Mus musculus: one gene and its partner. The protein of the gene in region 1 purifies or fractionates together with the protein of each later gene. This does not show direct contact. Links are inferred from orthologs where the notes say so. Each region holds a gene or a part of one and is shown in the gene's direction. Other genes may lie near its edges.

Region 1 (3,561 bases):
GTTATTGCACAATTAAAGCAAATATGGAAAGCAGTATTAAAATTGGCACAGACAAGTATCATGTATTTGCTCAATGAATGATTATCCTCTTTTTTTAAAATGTATTTTCTTAATGTACTTATTAGAGTCAGTATTTGGGTTTCTGATGTTTAAGTTGATAATGCTGAAAATGGAGTGGTTAGAAAGCTAATGAATCTGTTAGCTTTTTTGTTCAGCTTCTTCAATATCCCTTAGATATTAAACATGAATTGATTCAGTTTGGGAATCAGTAGACAATCTTTAGTCAGAGATGTATTAATTAAATATAATGTTACTTTACCTGGTTTAGGTTATGGGAAGCTGGTTGGAAGCAACGATACTACAAGAACAAATTTGATGTAGATGCAGCTGATGAGAAATTCCGACGTAAGGTTGTTCAGTCCTACGTTGAAGGACTGTGCTGGGTTCTTCGCTATTATTACCAGGTATCAAAAGAAGTTTTCCTCCTAAGTTTTTGGCTAATCATTTTAGAAAACAAGTAATTTCTATAATTGTACCTAATATTGAATATCCTTAGATAAAGCCTACACTTGTAGTTTTAAACTTACTACTAAAAATTATTACCATGAATAATATTTGTAAAGACTTGGAAGTTCCTTAAGAATTAGTCTATCAATAAAACTTGGTTCTGTTGTGTTAAAGGATTTTAAGGATTACAATGTTTGAGTTGGTCATTAATATTATTAAAGTTTAAGTGGGTTTTGGTTTGTGTGTTTGTTTTTTTAAAGAGTTTAAAGCCAATTGGGCATTTGAAAGTCACTAAGAAACTAAAGAAAAGATGCAGTATGTTGCGTACCAATAAAAATTTGAAAGGAATTTGATTGTAACAATTCTCTTATGTTACTGTGATTTTACATGAGATGAATTGGGTCAGTGTGTCCAGTGCACTGAGTAGTGGTGGAAAGATCTTCCTTCTTGTTTTACAGCACACTAAAAAGGCTTCTCTTTTTCCATGAGCACAACTTGCTTTTGTTTTGATTTTAGTGTATTTATAGTCAAGAGAAAGTTGCCACATGGAAGTATAATAGTACATTTTGGTTGTTTGATTCTCAGCTACTGTTGATGTTCGCAACTACTACTGCCACCTGTTCAGTAAATACCAGGTGAAAACCGTGTTTGGTTTTATTCGATGACAGAAGCTCTGAGATTGGAAAGAAATGTCATCAAATATATTTTAAGGATAAATATCTTAGTGAATTTGTATTTGTAAATACAAAGTTTGATATTAATTACTGATTATTCAAGAAAGTTTACAATATTTTTTAAATAAAGGAACCACTGATATGAAGCAGACAGTTATAAACAGTATTTTGAACTCAGAAAAATTAATGAGTGGAGTATATGCCAGAAATCATGTTTTACAAATAAGATATTATAGACTGATAGTCATAGCTAATTTTTTTTTTTAACCATGTTCATCATTAAGAGTATTTTGCTTTTAATTGTCATTAATGATTTTAGGGCTGTGCTTCCTGGAAGTGGTATTATCCATTCCATTATGCACCATTTGCCTCAGACTTTGAAGGTATTGCAGACATGTCCTCTGAATTTGAAAAGGGCACAAAACCGGTAAGCTTCAAGTCAATGAGAAGTAGGAATTTGAATTTCATAATAATTGGGAGTCTTTAACCTTTCCCTCTCTTGCAGTTTAAGCCACTGGAACAACTAATGGGGGTTTTCCCAGCTGCAAGTGGTAACTTTCTACCTCCAACATGGCGGAAGCTCATGAGTGACCCTGTAAGTCTTAGTGTTTTCAAATGTGTTAGGAACATTAGGCAAAGTTGACTTTGCATGTCATAGTTTTAAAAAGCTGAAATATGCAAAGAATGTGTTTTTTGCTTTTCACTGCATAATGTGGTATTCTGTACTTTCTTTGTCTCTGAGTTTCCTACCCAGTAAATAAAACTGATTTGTTTTCAATCTACATGTTATTATTTTGAGACAGGGAATTACTATGTAGTCCTGGAACTCCCCCTGTTCAAGGCTGGCCTTGAACTCAAAGAGATCAACCTCTGACTCCCCAGTACTAGAATTAAAGTTGTGAGTTAATCACACCCTGCATAATGATTTTTATTTCTTTCAACCCTATGAGAACTTTAAACATTCTATCTGACTTACCTAAAATTAACTCTAAGCTTGTTCTTTTGTGCTGGTTACGTAGTGAGACCCAGCCAGGAGGTAGGAAATGTTGAGTAACTAAACCTTTCACTGCCTGCATGTAGTCCATAACTATCAGTTCTAAAACTCTTTTCTTTGTTTAAAGTTATTTCATGTTTTTTGAGACAAGGTATGTGGCTTTTGTTTTTGATTCTTTTACTTTCTTCCTGAAACAGGATTCCAGTATAATTGACTTCTATCCTGAAGATTTTGCTATTGATTTGAATGGGAAGAAATATGCATGGCAAGGTAAAATTTAGATATCATTCCTTTTTGTTTGTTTGTTTGTTTGTTTGGATTGGGGGTTTCTCTGTGTACCCCTGGCTGTCCTAGAACTAGTTCTTTGGACCAGGCTGGCTTCAAACTCAGAGATCTGCCTACCTCTATCTTCTGAGTTCTGGGACTAAAGGTGTGCACCACCATCACCTTGTTTGTTTACAGTTTTTAATGAAGTTGATCAATCATGACTTACAGGATAAAAAAAACTCTGGAAACCATACTTTCATAATTACATGTGAAAAGTAGATATAAATATTCAATCATAATCATCAGTGATCAATAGTAATTCTAATAGTAAAATATGGTAAGTGGTAACTTACTGAAATAGGTTAAAATAGTGTTCTTTGTGAGTTTTTCTTCAATCAGTAACCCCTTGCCACCTTTCAAAACTGCTAAGAAAGAAACACAGTCATGCATGTTTGGGGTTATGGAAACTTGTAAAATATATAGTAGAAACTTAACAGTTGACATTTTATGTTTTGCCCGTTCTTTACATTCCTTATGTGAATAGATTATGTGGGAAAGCAATTTAAAAATTCACACTAACTTTAAGATGTTAATCACTACTCAACAAAAGTTGGTCATTGAGTATAACACACAGTAAAAAACACTTGCTCATCAAATTCTCCTCTGACACTTTCTTGTGCTGTATCCTTTTTTTTGGATACTAAGCTCAGAATTGTGAGGCAGAGGGGGCGTATCATCAATTTACAGATTGAAGGGCTAAGAAGTAGCTCAGTGGGAGATTATTTACCTGGCATGCACAAGTGCCTTTGATCCCCCCCCAAACCTCATAAAACTCATCACTCCCTCTACCCCTGGTCCCTGCAAAATCAAAACCAACAAAAAATGTACTGTAATTGGGGGTTAGCTTTTGGTTTAAATAGTAGTGATAATTTCTTATTACTTTAATATAATGATACTAAAAAATGCATCCAATATATTGGGGCTATTTAAAATGTGCTTTGGTCACATGTAAATGGATTAGCGTCTCCAAAGGCTTTTGAAGGAACTTTGTAGAGGATGATTTAATTAGAGAAGCAGTGAGGAAATGGAGGGCTAATTAAAATAAGTTAATTAATAAGT
Region 2 (4,186 bases), on another chromosome or scaffold:
GAACTGAACCCATATCCTCTGGAAGAGCAGCCAGTTATCTTAACTCCCGAGCCATCTCTCTAGCCCCCATGCTCTCATTTCTAGACCAACCACTGCAGTACACAACCAAGGAACCAAGGATGTAGCTCACTGAAGCCTCCGCAGTGTTTTTAAGAGTCAAGCATCTTTCTCTGGTGATAAGGATGGCAGCAAATTTCCAGGCTCAAATAATTCTCCTGCCTTGACATATGGAGTAGCTGGGACAAAAGGTGTCTGTCACTGTGCCTGGCACATCAAATGTCCTCAGAGTCTGATCAGCTGAAGCTAGAATCAGAATTACCAGGGACCTTGACTCTGGGTATCTGAGGTTTCACTTGGGAACCTGCCACTGCAGTATCAGTCAGGGTATGGCATCTGTATCCTGGGACTCAGCTCTGGTCGCTGTTATCCAGTTAACTTGCTGACTGCTGGGGGAAAGCTGTTTCTGTCTTTGGATTCTCATGTTTGGTTCAGATGTTCCAAGCCGTAGTGTCAGCACTGTGTCTTCCTGAGGTGAGAGCACCCAGCTTGGTGCTGGTCCTCACTGCTCTGGCATTTGCGGACTGGATTGTATTTCTGCCTGCTGGGATCCTAACACTGCCACAGAAGCCACAGAAGGGAGCAAGCAAGCAGTTGTAGGCCAGCTTGGCCGTGTATGACCCTGGGGGAGCGGGAGGGAAGGATCTGCAATAGTAAACAGTATATAATGAACTTCCTTGAAGCCCACTCACCACTTAAGACCTTCACTAGATCTGGAGGTCCTGAGTTCTAGGCTTTCTTCTGACTCAAGCTTACATTTTATATTTTTACATTTATTTACTTGCTTGGTGTGTGTGTGTGTGTGTACATCAAAGTACCACAACTTGCATGTAGAAGTCAGAGGACAGTTTTCAGGAGTTGGTTCTCTCCTTCCACCATGAGGGTCCCTCACAAAGTCCTTTAGAGTGGGGCATCCTGGGCACGAAACAAAATGCCTTGTATGTACTGATTGGATGATGAATACAGCAAGATAGGAGAACACAACCTCAGTGAAGATGTTGAGATAACAGTGGATCCATAAAAGAGAGGACCTCACTCCCAAGGGACAGCCACAGAACTTAGGGCAAACCTCAGGTGTGGCTGAGGATAGACAGATGCCCGGTGAACGACCCAGGGCAAAAAGGGCACTGCAGAGTCCCAATGGGCACCTAGCTGCCAGCTCTATGCTGGCGGGCCTCAAGCTCCCCAGCAGTTGCCACACACGCTGGGTTGCACTAGACCTCCGTGCCCCGCGAGGGCGCTCCAGATAAGTCCTCCAGAGCACTCGCCCTCAGCCGTGGTCGCTCTAGCCGTGCGGCGGCGGCGCGGGGCGTGTCGGGAAAGCGGCGGGCTGGTGCGATCCTTAGCGGCGGCAGCGGCTGCGGCAGCGGGAGCCATGGTGGGTGGCGAGGCCAGCGCCGCGGTGGAGAAGCTAGTTTCCGGCGTGCGGCAGGCCGCCGACTTCGCCGAGCAGTTTCGTTCCTACTCGGAGAGCGAGAAGCAATGGAAAGCGCGCATGGAGTTCATCCTGCGCCACCTGCCTGACTACCGAGACCCACCCGACGGCGGCGGCCGCCTGGACCAGCTGCTGTCCTTATCCATGGTCTGGGCCAACCACCTCTTCCTGGGTTGCAGGTGCGGACCCCCGACAGCTGGCTGACCTTGTCCCCATCAGTCGATCCTCAGCTTGGGCATATACACTGCTCCACGCTGAACCTGGCGCCAGCCTCCTACTGATCCCCTCTTAGCATTCCCTCGGGAAAAAAATCTCTCCTCTGAGCCTCGCTTTTCTCTTGTGAATGAGTGGTTGGGATGACTACAGCAGCTGAATGATAGGGCGTGCAGTGCAGGTGTGCTCCAAGGCGGCCGAATTGCAATGGTCATTGTTATTACTGTTTATTAGCCCAGAGGACTTCCTTTCCAGAGTGTGTTTGAAGTCTATTAGCTCCTGTCGCCCACGTGACAAAAGTGCAGACTCTTCCTCTAGATGAAGACACCTAGCAAGAGGATGTGATGTATCTCACCATTGGTGGGTTTCACGCTAAGGCAGGATGTAATCTTTTCTCCCCTTTCTCTTCTTGGCTTCCCTCTTAGGAAAGTAACCCATGCTATCTTGTTGCTGTCCTAACTCCCCGCCCTCCCCAGTCTTTGTGATCACACCTGGAAGGCAAGAGCCTGGCCTTGAGATATTCCACCTGGAAATGACACCAGGTTTTTATACTCCCTTGTGATTTTTAATTTTTTTTTAAAGATTTATTTATTTATTATATGTAAGTACACTGTAGCTGTCTTCAGACACTCCAGAAGAGGGAGTCAGATCTTGTTACGGATGGTTGTGAGCCACCATGTGGTTGCTGGGATTTGAACTCCGGACCTTCGGAAGAACAGTCGGGTGCTCTTACCCGCTGAGCCATCTCTCCAGCCCGTGATTTTTAATTTTTGAGGCAGTCTTCCCTTATAACTGAGACTGGCCTCCAGTTTACTGTGTAGCCCAGGCAATCCTAGAACTTGATCCACCTAGGCAACCACGTCCTGAGAGGCATGCATGGCCAGGCTCTTCCAGGCTTCTAGAGTTTCGTGAGGTTGTGTTAGAACAGGAGACCCTCACTCATACCTGATTTTGTAGTGGTCACAGGACCCCCTCCAGGCCAAACTGCTTGGTTTACTTTTTGGGTTTTGTGTTAGGGATGAAACCCAGGCCCTTACACATCCAAAATAAGCACTCAGTCACGAGCCTCATCACCAGTGCTGAAGCGGCTTGGTTTCAGATGTTGGGATGATTTGTCAGAACCGGATGTGGGGACGCTGAGCTAGACACACCCATCACACACACAGGCCCATCCTCCTTCCTGCGGTGCCCTTTAAAATCTGAGATTACAGAATCCAAACTCAGACACGTGACGGAGAACTGAACAAAAGGGATAAATGGTGTTATTTTCATGAGACCAACGTTCTGTGTGTTTTAAAAATAATCCAATTTTTAGGCCCTCAAATCTCATCCATGAATATGTACCACCAGGTATATGGTGCTCCTGTTTCTGTAATTTTAATTTAACTTTTTGTTTGCTTGTTTATACCTATTTTAAATTTTATACCTATGGGCATTTTGTCTACATGCCTGCACTGTAAGAGTGCCTCATGCCGTTGGAGGCCAGAAGACAGCTTTGGATTCCCTGGGATGGAAGTGCAGGTGGTTGTGAGCCACCTGACGTGGATGCTGGGAATTGAAACTGGGTCCTCTGAGAGCAAGTGCTCTCAACTGCTAAATTATCTCTCCAAACTCCTGTTTTTGTAATTTTTAAAAAGATTTTTATTTTATGTGTATGACTATGTACAAATATGTACCTAGTATCCTCCAAGGCCAGAAGAGGGCGTCAGATATCTGAGACCTGAAATTAACAGCCATGTAGAAACTGAACCCAGGTCCTTTATAAGAGTCTCAGGTGCTGTCTTAGCTGCTGAGCCATGTCTCTTGCCTCTGTTTTTGTAATTCTTGGAACATCTGCTGTATTGGCATTGTTCTCAAGCCTAGTTTGTCCTCACAGGCAGGAAGAACTATTTGTTAACTTGTATGCTAAGCACCTATGGTCTCCCCTGCAGTATCAAATCAGTCTTTACAAAGCTTGATATATACGCATCTGTATTCCAGCTACAGCGAAGGCTGAGGCAAACCTCAGATGGCATAGTGTGACCTTACCAGTGACCAAGCGGTTCTGTATTCTAGGGGTAGCATTTACAGTCTAATAACTACACTTTCTTACTAACCCGTAGTGACAGGTGAGTCTTCCCAGGTTTTTACCTTACTGCTTTTTATTGTGCAGTTATAATAAAGACCTTCTGGACAAGGTGATGGAAATGGCTGATGGGATTGAAGTGGAAGACCTGCCACAGTTTACAACCAGAAGCGAACTAATGAGAAAGGTGAGAGGCATTTGCAAGTGTAGATACCAAGGGCCCAGCTTACACTGCATTGTGTTGGTGTGCGTATTCTCCTTTCCTGCAGCACAGTCTTAAGGCCTTTCCTTATTTCTTCACAGTTGGTGTAAACCTTTTCTTAACTAGATAACAGGTCAGTGTGATAAATTATGCACTGTCTGTGGAGTAACAAGTGGGCTCAATCTCTTTGATTTGTCTACAACACTCTTTTTTC

What was found. The genes of interacting proteins can lie anywhere in the genome.
Region 2: the proteins of Xrn2 (region 1) and Cdkn2aipnl purify together in Homo sapiens (co-immunoprecipitation; 6 studies listed by BioGRID and IntAct, with this or other methods). This does not show direct contact. The link is inferred for Mus musculus from reciprocal best matches to the Homo sapiens genes XRN2 and CDKN2AIPNL.

The regions. Positions count from the first base shown.
Region 1 is NC_000068.7:147,040,488-147,044,048, forward strand, and holds part of Xrn2 (5'-3' exoribonuclease 2), read left to right. Parts: intron 1-328; coding exon 329-464; intron 465-1,500; coding exon 1,501-1,608; intron 1,609-1,686; coding exon 1,687-1,776; intron 1,777-2,372; coding exon 2,373-2,445; intron 2,446-3,561. UniProt on the Homo sapiens protein: Possesses 5'->3' exoribonuclease activity. May promote the termination of transcription by RNA polymerase II.
Region 2 is NC_000077.6:51,966,287-51,970,472, forward strand, and holds the start of Cdkn2aipnl (CDKN2AIP N-terminal-like protein), read left to right. Parts: upstream 1-1,344; 5' UTR 1,345-1,432; coding exon 1,433-1,671; intron 1,672-3,857; coding exon 3,858-3,957; intron 3,958-4,186.